Stegostoma tigrinum: one gene and its partner. The protein of the gene in region 1 purifies or fractionates together with the protein of each later gene. This does not show direct contact. Links are inferred from orthologs where the notes say so. Each region holds a gene or a part of one and is shown on either strand. Other genes may lie near its edges.

Region 1 (7,973 bases):
TGAAGTTTCTTGAGAATGCTGTTGGAACTGCACCAAATTTGATTTCTCAATAAGCACCACATATAGAAGAGGTACCATCTGCCTGCTCATACATACAGATTATACAGAGGGAGAAATAACTTTAAATTTCAGTAGACTGAATACTGGATAATAAATAAATGGAAACAATTTGAATAAATGACAAGCATGTTAAATTTCTCAATCCCTGTAATAAACCATAATCACACAGACATACTAGGTTAGTGCTTCTTAAACTATTCCCTCTGTGACTCCATTCTCAGGCTTGAAAATTGTCGTGACCCCTCAGTATGCAGCCATGGGGGAGGGAGACCCATGAGATCAGCGAAAGGAGTTTGGCCATTACAGCCTCAAAGCCTGCAACCCCAAAATGTCAACTCTCACCCTGTCCTATGGGAAGCCTTGTACTATTGGTTCTCATTCCATGCTTTGTGCTTTGGAATCTCATTAAGCAGAATCTACCTGAGAGCAGAGATTTTGCAGAACTCGACTGTGACTTTGTCAATAGGGAGTGTCACCCCACTCCCTGTAGCCCATTCTGGGTGTCACAGAAGCAAGACTGGAAGCAGTTTGGGCAAAGGTTCCACTCTCTGAGTGAATGAGAGGTGGCTTCATTCATTTGAGTGAAATTTGATTGAGGTACAAGTGAGTTTGATTCAGGAACAACTTTGCCAGGATTTGCTGCAACACAACAGGAAGTTAGATGGACATTTCTTATTGAAAATCCATACTGCCCCAAAACTAGACATCTGTTTATTTGCTGCAGGAAAAGCTACCAGTGCTCAGATACTCTTCGGATACTTGTTGGGATTTCAACAGTGTGTGTGTCCATTGAAAGCAGAGTTATATTTTCATTAGAAAACTCTCCATAAACTCTACATTCCTGCAATTCTGGCCTCTTGTGCATCGTCCACTTCCCTCATCCCACCATACGCTACCTTCATGGCTTTAAAGCTCTGGACTACCCTCTCCCCTAAAAAAAACAAACCTTTCTCTCTTTCTCCTTATTTAAGACACCACTTTCTGAAGAGAAGAGAAATTGCCAGTCTACAGGAAAAAGGCAGGGTAGTGGGATGAGGTGTCTTGCTCCTGAAAACATCCTCAACAAATAATACTATTGGCTGACAGCTAACAAAACACTGACACAGAACCTAAACCCAAAAAAACACCCTGGATTCATCTGAATGCTCCAGTAGACTGCCTCGTAACAGACCTCAGTGATGAAGATTTCATTTGCTTGAGGATGGCTTCATGGAAAATGTGGTTATGTGACCCATGAAACATGAGGGATGCTGAAATGCTGACTGTGACCATTCAAGTCAGCCCAGCGCCCATCTACTGCATTCCTGCCTGATGGTGTTGGCACTACTAGCTGTAAGGAGTGCAAGAAATGCTCACCAGACTACAACCTGACATAGTGGGACTGTTTGAGGAGGACAAGTTGAGGTGACTGAGCCTGTATTCTCTAGAACTTGGATGAATGAGAAATGACCACAATGAAGCATAACACATTTCCTTATGGGGCTTGACAGGCAAGGCGTAGGAAGCATGCTTTTCCTGACTGAAGTGGAGGGTGGAGAGCTTGTATAGAACCAACAGTCTTAGAATAAGAGATAGAATATCAAGGACTATGTTGTGAAGGAATATCCTAACTCAGGAGGTGGTGAATCTTTGTAATTCTTGACCAAAGAGCTGTAGGTGCCCAGTCACTGAGTATATTTAGGACAGAGATTGAAAGATTTTTAAATGTTAAAGATATCAAGGGATATGAGAATAGAGTGAGAAACCAATGCTGAAGTGGGAATATCAGCAGCGATCTAGTCAAAAGGTAGAGAGGCTCAACAAGCTGAATGGTCTGTTCCTATTACCTACATTCACACTGCATCATCTTGAATGAATGGCTAATCTTGTCATTAGACTCTAATGGCTTCCCCAGCCTTTAGAACATATTGGGCATGTTAGCAAGAGCAACTTGCCCGGTCCCAATTTCCCATCCTTTCACTGTAGCCTTTCATGTATTTTCTCTTTGGATAATGATCGAATTCTCTGTGAATGCCATGTTTGAATTTTCTCTGCCACACTGTCAGGGGAGTGCATTCCAAATTGTGACTACTCTCGGACTACAAAACAAAAGCTAATGTCATCTCATGTTGTTTCTTTTGCCAATCAATCTGTTGTCTGTTTCTAGGTTCAGAAAAAGGAGGGATTTCTTCCTATCCAATCTGTCCAGAGCCCTCCTGATTTTGGGCACCTCTATCAAATCTCCGCTCAGATATGCCCTCGAAGGAGCACTGCCCCAGCTTCTCATATTATTCATTCATTTAACTGAAATTGCTCACTCCAGTCTGTACTCTCTAATGGCAGCACATCCTTCCTAAAGGAACTGGACACAATCCTCCAGCTGAGACCAAATTAGTGTTTAATTCTGGGCTACTGTAATTCCTTGCTTTTGCTTGTTGTTTGTTTATATCTTGTTTCTGTCAATAAATGCCCAGGATCGTGATACTTCATTTCCTGTTCTTTCAACCTGTCCTACCACCTTCAATGTTTTGTCTCTGTACAGTCCCAGGTCCCTGTGTTTCCACTTTTGGAATTGTTCTTCTACTTTTATATTGACTCATCTTCTCCATCCCAAAATGAATCATTTAAGATGTACAATCAGTATTTCTCTTTTGTTGTTAATCTGGAACCCTCCAACAGGACAGCGGGAACACAATACAGACTGCTGCGATTTAAGCAGATGGTCCCACGCTGTTTTCTCAGAGCTACTAATTTAAAGCAAAAGCAAAATACTATGGTTCCTGGAAACCTGAAACATTTTTTTATAAAGTGATACTGCCAGTTTTGAGTTGTTTCTTCCTGTGTAAAAGACTTGATTAAAATTGCAAGTTTAAAATGAAGTAATTACCAGTTAAATAGAAACCAAAAGAACTGTGGATGCTGTAAATCAGGAACAAAAACAAAGTCGCTGGAAAAGCTCAGCAGGTCTGGCAGCATCTGTGGAGGAGAAAACAGAGTTAATGTTTCAGGTCCGGTGACCCTTCCTCAGAACTGATGGTGGCTGGGAAAATGTCAGTTTATATGCAGAAAATAGGGAGGTCGGTGGGGTAGGGAGTAAATGATAGGATAGAGCCCAAAGAGAAAGACAAGGGAGTTGCTAACGATCAGACTGGGAGGGTGAATAGTTGTTAATGGGGACTGTTAGTGACTAACAACGGGGGGGTGGGGGGCAGGCTATGTGGTAACAAGGCCTGATGTGTTGCCTGCCACTTCAATGTACCACCCTACTCCCTGGCCAACATCTCTGTGTCTGGCTTGCGACAGTGTTCCAGTGAAGCCCAACGCAAGCCGGAGGAACAACACCTCATATTCCGCTTGGGGACCCTACAGTCCCCCGGACTCAATATTGAATTCAATAATTTTAGGGCCTAAACTCCCCCATGTCCCAGCCCCCTACCCCACATACCCCATAGCCTGCCACTCCACACCCTCCCCCCGTTAGCCCCGTTAGTCACTAACAGTCTCCATTAACAACTGTTCACCCTCCCAGCCCGAACGTTAGCAACTCCTTTGTCTGTCCAACTGTCTTTCTCTCTCTTTGGACTCAATCGTATAGTTTACTCCGCACCCCAACCACCTCCCTATTTTCTGCATATAAACTGACGTGTTCCCAGCCACCATCAGTTCTGCGGAAGGATCACTGGACCTGAAATGTTAACTCTGTTTTCTCCTCCACAGATGCTGCCAGACCTGCTAAGCTTTTCCAGCAACTTTGTTTTTGTTCCTAATTACCAGTAAATAATGTTACAGTGTCTGGAAAGGTTTAGAGGGATATGGGACAAATGCAGACAAATGGGACTAATTTGGTTTTGGAAAATGTTTTGGTGTGGACAAGTGGGACCCAAGGGTCCATTTCTATGCTGTATGAATCTATAACCCTCAAAGCTCACTAGGTCAGTCAGCATCTGTGGAGAGAAGAAAAACAGAACTCACGTTTCAGACCGGTAACCTTTCACCTCCATTTCTTCTCAGGACAGCTTGGAGTAGACAATATCTCTAGTCCTCCCAACCAAAGAAAATCTCCATTTTCGTTGACGGATTTTAAATGGCATAAACATATACTAAACATGAAAAGATGCATTTACCTAATTTCATCAAATCAAATCAAAGGCAGTCTATAGAGCTGGTACAATATGACGAATGGTAAATCATATTGCAACAGAAGAATTGGGACATTGAATAGCACTGACTTTACAAGCGCTTGTTACAGGGGTTACAAACGAAATAAACCATGCTACTGCAGTCCCAGATCAAGCGGCGATTTTGCTGTGTTTAACATAGCAGTCAGTGTTTTGCAGGGCTTAATAAGGCATTTGACAAACCGGAGTATTTTTTTTACATTTCTACATCAGCCCGAGTCTTGCAGTGTTAGATAATGTTATAATCTTAAACAAATCAGAGGCTTTTACAACGTTTAATAAAACGGGAGTTTCACGGTGCTTAATAAACCGATATTGTTTAACGTTTCACAGTCTGTTCATAAAACCAAGAGCTTTGCGGTTCTTATACATCGAAGGGTTTTGCTAATTCCGTCTGGTTAAATGATTTGAGCAGGAGTTGCATTTCTCCAGGATCTCCACTAGGAAGCTGCATTGCTCTCTCTCACTGATTCCGTGCCAGAACCCTTTCTGAATCGGCTCCATCTCCATTTCCATCTGTTGACCTCGAAGCTGAAGACAGAGAGAACATTACAGCCGTCTCTCTCCCCCCACCCCCTTCAAACTTGACCAGAGTGGCTGCCAGCGAAGATTACTTCACGGACCGGAGCTGGGATTTTTACTGGCCCTTGCTGCGGACAGAGGAGACCGGAGTGAGAGTGAGGGGGATGTCTGTTTATAGTCTCTCCTTTGCCGGTGAGTAGCTCCGGGATCCTGGTCACCGGAGACTGGAGTGGGGGGAAACAGAGGGGGCTACAATTAGTGCTTTGTCAACGGGGGTGGGGGGTGGTTTGCAATGGGATCTGGGGAGATTTAACCTCCTCCCAACCCCGAGGAGGGCTGGCATTGGGCTGGATTTGCATTTATGTATGTATGTATTTATATATAAATGTGTGTGTGTTTCTTTTTCACTCGGCCTTCTTCGTTCCGCCTTTAGCGGCGGCTGTAAGAAGTGGATTTGCAGACACCGGACAAAATCAGGACCGTTCAGTATTGGAGAGGATACTTTGTCAAGATCTGAGCGGCTTTCTTTTTTAAAAAAAGACGGTGAAACAGCATTCCTTCAGCAGGAAACATTTCCCCATGTGTTACAATGTGTCGGACTGTATCAGTTGTGCAAGGGAATTTTGTATTGCTTCCCTTCAAAAATTAAAAGCTCATTTGGCTTCCTGTCAGGGCCCACTTTTGCAAATAGTTGTTTAACTTACTCCCTCGTAGAGAATTGGGGTTTTACTTGCGAAAATAATTCATCGTGGTTACCTGCTTCCTGTTGCCACTTACCCCTCCCCCATTCCTCGTTTTCTCAGGGTCGTCAGTTTCTCTTCGGTTCTGAAGCCAATGATTAAGCGTGAGACTGATCGAAATACATGCAGGGAACAGTGATCGCTGTGGTTCAGTAATTGCCTATATTCCCCTCCCCCTTCCCTATAATTCCTTTACCGCCCCCCCCCCCCCATTTAAAGATTGTTAAACAAATAGGACCATAAAAACTATGGAAAGTCGTCCATTCAGCCCCTCGAATCGATTCTGCCATTCAATAAGATCATGTCTGATCTGATTGTATCCTCAAATTTTCATTCCATTTACCTCTGATAACTTTGCTTATTAAGAATTTATCTCTGCCTTAAACATGTTCAAAACCCCTGTTTACACCACTTTTCACAACGGGAGACTCTCAACCCTACGATTTTTTAAAACCGAACATCAAATGGGTGACTCCTGATTTTTAAACTGATCCCACAAGAGACAAACATCCTCATCATATCTACCTTCCTGATGTCTCACAAGATCTCTTATATTTCAAATGAATTATCTCTTACCCTTCTGAATTCCAGTGGAAACAGTCCTGCGCCGCTGACCAAGCACACATCCAGTTGCAGACATAAGTTGAATAAACCTTCTCTGAACTGCCTCAACACACTTATACCTTTAAATAAGGTGTTCAATACTGTGCACAATATTTCAGTTATGCTTTGGCTGGATAACTAAAGCACAGGCTCCTAACTTTTTTTTATCAAACTCATGGCAAATGAAAACATCCTTTTTGTTCTCCTGATGACTTGCTGTATCTGTGTCCTATTCTTTTGCAATTCATTCACAAGGGCACCCAGATCTTAGCATCTCAGAGCTCTGTAATCTCCCACCATTTAGGTAATTTAAAAAATATTTTTCTTAAAAAATGGAATTTTTCATATTTCTCCATGTTACAGTCCATTTGCACAGCACAGCCCTCTCAATTTATCTGATGACATATTGTCAGAACCTCTTGTAGACTCTTCACAACTTAACCTTCCTTCCTTTCTGGCATTGTGTCATCTGCAAATTTGGCAGCCATTCACCTGTCCCTTCATTGAAGTTCTTTATAAAATTTTTAACCAGTAGACGTGCCAACACCGACCCCTGTGGCACACTACTAGTTAAACGTTGCCGACCATCTACACATAATTTAGCACTTTCTGTTAATCACCCAATAATCTATCTATGTCAGGATGCTAACCTGTACATCAGAAGCTTTTACTTTCCACAGTAGCCTTTAATGTGGCACACTGTCAAATGCCTTCTGTAAATATGAGTACAGTACTTTCTCTGATTCCCCGTATACCTACAACATTTGTTACCTCCTCAAAGAACTCCAGTAGGTTAGTCAAACATGATTTAGCTTTCTCAAAACCATGCTGGTGTGTCTGATTACCTTGAGCTTATCTAAGCATCCTACAATATGTATTGTAGACAGCGTAGAAGGTTTTCTAAGATTACAGAGGGATCTTGATCAAACGGTTTCAATGGACTGAAAAATGGACAATGGAGCTCAATCTGGATAAGCGTAAGATATTGCATTTTGGTACAATAAACAAGGGTAGGGCTTATACAATTAATGGTAGGGTCTTGAGTAGTGTTGTTGAACAGAGGAACCCTAGGGGTGCAGGTACATAATTCTTTGAAGTTTGCATCACATGTAGAAAGGCTGGTTAAAAAGGTGTTTGGCACGCTTGCCTTCATTGCTCAGTCCTTTTGAGTATAGGAGTTGGGAAGTCATGTTGAGGTTATACAAGACATTGGTGAGGCCTTTTCTGGAATACTGTGCCCAGTTCTGGTCACCCAGTTATAGGGAGGACATTATCAAGCTGGAGAGGGTTCAGGAGAGATTTACCACGATGTTGATGGGTAAGGAAGGTTTGAGTTATAAACAAAGGCTGGATAGGTTGGAACTTCTTTCACTGGAGCGTAGGAGAGGCAACCAGATAGAAGTTTATAAAATGATGAGGGGTGTAGATAGAGTTGATGGTAGTTTCCTTTTCTCTAGAATGGGAGATTTCAAGACAAGGGGGCACATTTTTAAGGTGAGTGGAGAGAGATTTAAAAAAAGACATGAGGCAAATTTTTTTTGCAGAAGTTGGCTTCTGTGTGGAATGAACTTCCTGAAGAAGTGGTGGAAGCTGGTACAGTTATAACATTTAAAAGACATTTGGATGGATATGTGAATAGAAAAGGTTTGGTGAAGAAAGGGCCTGGAGCAGGCAGGTTAGATTAGTTTAGTTTGGGATTATGTTCAACATAGACTGGTTGGACTGAAGGGTCTGTTTCTGCATGGTATGACTCTATATCTCTGTTTGCAGTTCCTTAATGTTCCATCCAATATTCTGACCTGCCACCTGTCTTTGTACAATAATAGGCTTTTATTTTGGTTTGATGTTATCTTTAACCTAATTTACCAATTCACTTCAGCCAATTCTGCTT
Region 2 (7,335 bases), on another chromosome or scaffold:
TGCTTGAGCCAGCTAGAACAAATAGAAACAAGTTAGTTAGAACTTTAAATTTGACTTCAAAAGAAATCAGTGGTGTTCCTCAATATTCATGGACAATTAGTTTCTGAAAGTGCTACTGAAATGTTTTGAATTTTCCTCCTAAATTATGTGATTAGATGATGTTACCAGCTGATGAGGATAGATGACTGTTTGTATGTTGTGATGTGAAAATAACTCTCAGCTCTTCCTTCAATACTTCAGCAAGTGATTCAAATCAATTTCCTCAAAATGCTGATAATTGCTTTAAATACAAATTTTAGTAAACAAGTTTTGTTGCTTTGAACAGCATTCTTATGTTTCAATAAACAGTGTGTTATGACTCACTGCTGTATGAACTATTTAAAAAATTAGTCTACATTGAATTTCGCATAACTTCCTTGTTCTTGTACACTCTGCTTCTATTTACAAAGACAAAGGATTCTATATCCTGAGAAAAAATACAAAATGGAAAAAATATATAATGACAGTAAAACAAAAATTCCAGAAAAAATATTAACCCCAGTAAATCTATTTTATTATCTGGATGTAGACCAGATTTGTGGCCTTTGCACATCCCCATCAGGGAAAAAATCTGTCTCGCTTTTTTGATTAGTCATGGTGATACTTTACTGGAAAAACGCGCTTAAACTTCTTTACAATTTAAAATTATTCTGCTGTCATGCATAGTTTAAAATGTTAAAAAAACTAATTGTATCAATCATTACATCATTTTCTATGCATAAGACATTTTTGTTCGTTTTTGTATTCCACCCACCCTCTAAAGGGAAGGAGAGAATTATTCCAGTACGAAATGATCATACTGCCACACTCACCCTCATTCTTTAATATCCATGTATCTCGGCATATGGAAATTATTATTTATTTGTAGTATATATTTTATATGCTATATAACTGGTTGTTTTGAATTAAAAAAATGTTATGCATAGTGTTTGCCACTTTCTATAAAGACATTTAAAAATATAAAACTGATTCAGTTTAAAAATTACATTCTGACTATAACTTGGGGTGCTACAGCAAGTATTAATTAACAAAATTAATTGGTGTGGTACTATGAATCATACATGCAGCTTGATTCGGGTAGCACTCATATCTCTAGGTTAAAGATCATGAATTAATATGGCACTCCAGAATCTGAGCACAAAATTTAGACTGAAACATCAGTGTAGAAATGCTGGGGCTGGTGTCTTTCAGACAAATTGTCAAACTAAGGCCTTGTAAACTAAGTGTGTGAGCTCACATGGATAAAGAAGATCCATAGAACCAATAAGCGTAAAGATTACTTTCTCCTGGTATCAAAATAATAGTTATCTCTTAACTGAGCACCACCAAGAAAGATTTTACTTTTTCTCCCTGCTGTTTATAAGAACACATGACAAAACAGAAAAGGAAAGATACTCTGGTTCATCTGACTTGTCCTGCATATTTATAATATCTTGTGCATTTGTTTTCATTCTTTCATGAGCTGTGGGTGTTACTGGCTGGGCCAATATCCACCATTCCTAAATTGCTTAAGAAAGCACTCATGAGCTGCCTTCTTAAAATGCTGCAGTCCATGGGATGAATACACCAACAGTGTTGTGAGGAAGGAGGTTCCAGGATTTCGACCTAGCGACGATGAAGGAATGGCAATATAGTTTCAAGCCAGGGTGGTGTATGGCTTGGAGGGGATCTTGCAGATGGGTGTTTCTGCTAATGCATCTACTGCCCTTGTCCTACTAGATGGTAAAAATTTACATTACCATATATACATTCTTACTCTACCTGAAACCATTCAATCTCCAGGGAATCATTAAAAATCTAAACCAACGTTGGAGGAAGAAAAGTTTAGGAATTCCTTTCTGACCCTCTTTGGCAATCACAACTGGTCAAGTGTGATGATGCTATGGCTTTAACAGGCATATTTTGCCCTGTTACTTTTTATGAAGATAGGTTGAGACAGAGGTAATAAGTGGTCTGCTCAAAGCCAATAAAGTAAACAGCTTGTGAGGCCCTGTTTTTTTTAAAGTTTGGAGCAATAGAAGCAGCCTGAATAAATGGGGTCATGCTCCCACAGAACTAGGATTTTTAGTTTTAGATTTCTGCAGTTGCTGGGATCTTGAGGTTGGATGCAGAAGTTTTTATTTCTTTCTGTTATTGCTAAAAGCTGGGGTTCTATTCCTGCTGCTAGAGTTGCAAGTAAGGGTATTGGCATCTTCTTAATATATTTTGAGGTGGTTTGGTCGGGTCAATAACATGAAAATGTCATTCAATCCTCCAATTTCCTGCAATACCTACCTTTCTTCAAAGGTGACATCTGTCCTAGCTGGAAACAGTTCTAATTGTCATGAAGTATTCAATTAATTGCCACTGTATGCACAGTCCATCATTTTCTGAGAAGAAGACCGACATCTTGACATTTAACACAGATCTGGTCCTCTACAATTTAAAATTTGGTTCTTTGGTCCTTGATTACATACTAAATTGCAACAAATTGTCTACTCAAGCACAACTTTCCCCGCATCATCATCATAATCACCTAAAACTTGATCAGATCACCCACACCTATCCTTCTCTGAAGTGCATGGTCTCAGATCTTTTAATCTATCCTGATAACTAAGATGTTTCCAATTGTGAATTAATCTTGCATTCCTCCTCTGCATCTTTTCCATATCTCAATATTACCTATCTGTGAGGCAATCAAAACTAGGCACGAAATTCTAACTGAAGCCACACTAAGGTCATTTACAGGTACAAAATAATATGCTTAGACTTACTGTCAATTGTGTTTTATACACTATGATGATCAAATCTTTTTCTTCCACCATTTCTGTTAATGCCTTTCCTTGAGGTGTATATGTATGCTTAGCAGCTACTGTATGCATAGGCTTAAGATTGCACTTTTCCAAGTTAAACATAACCTGGCAGTTTAAAAGCCCACATTTTGCAATTCATCCATTCAGCCTTATGCTGACATATCAATATTTGTCCAAAATCCAAATACACTACATCTCTTGGTACCCCTCTATCCACCCTACTTATTACATCCTCAAGGAACTCTAACAAAATTGTTAGACATGACTTTTCCTTCATAGACACAGTTGACTCAGCTTGATCGTACCATGATTTTCAAAAACCCCTGCTAAAACTTGCTTGATATCAGATTCCAGCATCTTCTCAAAGACAGATGTTAGGCTAAATGGCCTATATATACACACACCAGCTTTACACATCCATCCTTTCTTGAACATGGACATTCTATTTGTGATTTTGCAATTCACTGGGGCCTTTCCATAATCTACAGAATTCTGAAAATGTACAATCAATGCAAACCCTATTTCTGCAGCCAATTCTTTTAAGACCCTTTCATGCAAGCTATTAGCTCCAGAGCACTTGTCACCTTTTAGTCCCATGAGTTTCGCGAGAACATTTTTTAAAGTGATGATTGCTTCAACGTGCCCTTGAATTTCTACTAATCTTGCGAAGTTTTTACTGACTTTCACTGTGAAAAAACCGACAAAATATTCAGTCCAAATCATAGTTGTGAGACAGTAAATAGGAAAAATTCTTTCCAGTTGCAGAATGATCGGCAGCTCGAGGACACAGAATTAAGGTGACTGTCAAAAATAACTTGAATTGACAAGAGGTAACAGCGACGTTGCAGTGCACTGCCTGAAAGGTAGGTTCAGTAGTAACATTCAAAAGAGAATTGGCTTGCGGAGGTTGGGGACTGTGGGGTTAACAGTTATGGGGAAAGAACAGGAGAATGTGATTAATTAGGTAACTGTACAAAAGAGGCAGCACGAGAGCGATGGGACGAATGGGCTTTTTCTATGCTGTATCATTCAATGACTGGCTCATTTCATTTCAATCGTGGATTTCATATTGATAGACCATGCATTTCGTAAACTCAATAATCCGAAGTCAAGCTCTGACAAATTTACAGGCATAGCTCGACCACATTTAGTCGCATTTTTAGTAACAGTGAAGTTTCCTTGGTGCTATTTCTCGACTGCCTTGTTCCCGAGACCCGAGCAGGAGGAGCTGCAGACTGTCAAGAGGGAGGGAGCACCAGGGTGATGTCAGCAAGAACTGTGTTCTGGCTCTCAGTTGAGAAGCCCTGTAGAGAGAGGACTTCGACCAAAGAAGCGAAACAAGAGAAGAAAGCAGCGACTTCAGCCTTAAAAAAAGAAAAAAAGTATCACTGACAACTTTTTGCTGCTGGAAAATAACCCTCAACCTCTCCTCTCGTCGTTTTGAGCGTGGATTTTCTGTGGGTGGAAATACTCTCAAAAATAAGGAAGAAATCAGAGCAACAACGAATCGACTGGATTCGAGCCTTCGACAAAATAACAACAATATACCTCTACAGAAGATCAATCCTGAGCTGTATTCGAAGATGGGAAGCGAGACACAGAGAAAGGGGGGAGTCTGGTTGCACTGATCGAGGCACAGAGACGGTCTGAGTAAGGGAAGAGAGACAGAAAAATCTAGAAGAAAAGTGAAAAATTGATTTTTTTTCCGGCGTATTGAAGGAGGGGAGTTGTTTTCTTTTTAAAAATTTCCTGAGGTAAATAATGTTTGTTTTTTTTATTTTGATCGAGTTTTTTTTGGTCGTCCGTTGGTGAGTGTGGGCTATGCACATCCGGGCCACCGGGCTGGAGGAGGCCATCATTGTTCGCTCGGGGAAAGGGGGGAAAAGCGGCGGCGGCCGCTGGCGAACGGGAGATACCATCACCATTAGCAACAGCAGCAGCCGGAATTAAACCTCATTTAAAAAATATAAACATACAAATAAAACATAAACGCTCGGGAACATGTCTAATCAAGGAGCCAGGAGGAATGGGCCAGTAAAGTTACGTCTAACAGGTAAGAAGCTGTGAATTGCACACGCATATGTAATATACACTGTGCGTTATGAAGACCTGGAGCTTTAAATGGATCCTTTCTTTTTCTCTTTTTAAATGATTTGTGAATGGAAAGATTGTTTTGTTTTTTTTCTAGTAGTTTCCTTCTCTTTGTCCCCACCCCCAATCGTGAGTGGCCAAATAAGTCATGTCATTTGCACACATTTTCTTTACAAAAGAGTGGTTGAACTTGAATGAGTTTTTTCCTGACTGGCAGATTTTGCTTTTGAATAATTTTTTTCTTATTCCCTGTATGTGGGCTTGGGGAGAAGGGTTGTGTCTTCGGATGATTTTATAACCAGGAAATTCCTGTTTCTGTTTGGAGGTTTCGGTGCTTGTAATACGTGTGAGGCCTGGCAAAGTAAACTCTTGGTTGTTGAGGTTATTCCTATGACGTGGGGGGGGGGGCGTGTGGATTCGAAACAATCTTTCTGCTTCTACCAACTCCTCTCTGATTTGCATACGGGCATGTCTGTAATATGAAAATATGTAAGATCAAGAAGACTTACGAGTTGCTGCATTTTATTAATCCAATTGTATTTATGTTCCCACCCGTCCAAAGAAGTGCAACAGCCAACTTGGCAACGGTTCAAAAGTTTAGTTTTGTTGCCTTGTGCTTATTCTGCACTATATTTATATTTTTATTTTATCTCCATGGACTTCACAATGAAAAGATGATTACGTTATTTAGAACTGGAGCTTAGTTTCTGGAAAGTTTATGAGAAAACAGCCACCCTTCAAATTGTGGCATTTTACATTAAGAACAGGTTTATTCAAAATAGGAAATGATATCTAAAATGTATTTTTTAGAAAAGGCATATTGTGAACATTATACTTGGACATCTTAACATTTTCATTAGCTGACGTTTTGCCTGTCTGCTTGGCTCAGAAATGATGTACTCACCCCTTACTAAGAAGGTTGTGGATTAAAAGTCCATTGCTTATTTTTGCCTATCATTCAGTACAGTAGAGGAGTCGTGATAGCAAGAGCTGCTGGCTGTAGGAAGAGATATTAAATCTAAGGTCTTGCATGACAGTTGGGTTGTTTTAAAAGATCCCTAGATATCATTTTGAAGAGCAGGGAGTATGTATTTTTTGCCAACGGTCTGACTCAATGACCACTCAAAAAGCATATAGTCTGCTCTTTAATCTTCTGTTTGTGGGATTGTGCTGCACTAACAACATAATTGCACCTCCAAAAAAAACTTCACATTCTATGGAATCTTGAAATGTTGTAAAGACATAAAAATGCTTCATTTTAGAAATAACATCAATGTTGTTGTGTTGGGAAGTGTAATAGCAAAAACAATGCTGTAAATATTCATCAGGCCAGAAACAAGAGTTAAGGTTTCAGATTGATGACCTTACACCATTTCTAATGAATTAGCATCTGTCTGAAATATTAACCCTGTTTCTTAGTCTACAGATGCTGCTTGCCATTCTGAGGCTTAATGGAATTTTGTTTTTGTTTTTAATTTCAGATTTCCAACATTTTTCAGAATTGCACACTCAGTTACTGTTATCAGTGGTGTTGGTTCAAGAATAAATGGTGGTTGGGATGCCTGCAGAGCTAGGCTGTTCAGATTGGAGTAAAGGCACATGACATCTTGAGTTAACTCCTGAGCCAAAAGATAGTGGTAATACTAATCCAGCATGAGAATATGTCCTTAGATCTTTTTGAGTGGGGCTAGAATCCATGCTCAAACAAGAATGACTGAACTATGTACTGTTGAAAAGAATTACAGACATGAGAAGTAAAGTGATAAATGCCTGAAAATGCATGCATAATTTTGGTTGAAGTATGTTTATATAAATGATTTGAATGAGAATTTGAGAAATGATTAGTAAATTTGCAGTTGACACCAAAATTGGTGGTATAGTCAACAGTGAAGGAGGTTATCTCAGATTATAAAGAGATCTTGATCAGTTGAACCATTGGGTTGAGGAGTGGCAGATGAAATGTATTTTGGATAAATGTGAGATGTTGCATTTTGATTAAGCAAATAAGGGCAGAACTTCTACAGTTAATGGTAGGACCCTGAGTAGTGTTGTAAAACAAAGAGACCTTGGGGTTCAGTTATATAATTCTTTGAAATTTGCGTCACATGTAGACAGGGTCATTAAGATGTTTAGCGAGCTTGCCTTCATTGGTTCAGACCTCTGAGTATAGGAGTTGGGAAGTCATTGTTGAGGTTGTACAGGAAGTTGGCAAGGCCTCTTCTGGAGTACTATGTACGGTTCTGGCCGCCTGCTACAGGAAGGATATTATTACATCGGAGTAGATTTAGGAGAGATTCACCAGGATGTTGCAGGGAATGCAGTGTTTGAGTTATAAGGACAGGTTGGATAGGCTGGGATTATTTTTGTTGCAGCATAGGAATTTGAGGGCTTTCTTTATAAGAGGTTTATAAAA

The links. The genes of interacting proteins can lie anywhere in the genome.
Region 2: the proteins of cuedc1b (region 1) and smurf2 purify together in Homo sapiens (co-immunoprecipitation; 3 studies listed by BioGRID and IntAct, with this or other methods). This does not show direct contact. The link is inferred for Stegostoma tigrinum from reciprocal best matches to the Homo sapiens genes CUEDC1 and SMURF2.

Annotation. Positions count from the first base shown.
Region 1 is NC_081380.1:34,335,087-34,343,059, forward strand, and holds the start of cuedc1b (CUE domain-containing protein 1b), read left to right. Parts: upstream 1-4,660; 5' UTR 4,661-4,931; intron 4,932-7,973.
Region 2 is NC_081375.1:10,563,435-10,570,769, forward strand, and holds the start of smurf2 (E3 ubiquitin-protein ligase SMURF2), read left to right. Parts: upstream 1-4,049; 5' UTR 4,050-4,832; coding exon 4,833-4,884; intron 4,885-7,335. UniProt on the Homo sapiens protein: E3 ubiquitin-protein ligase which accepts ubiquitin from an E2 ubiquitin-conjugating enzyme in the form of a thioester and then directly transfers the ubiquitin to targeted substrates.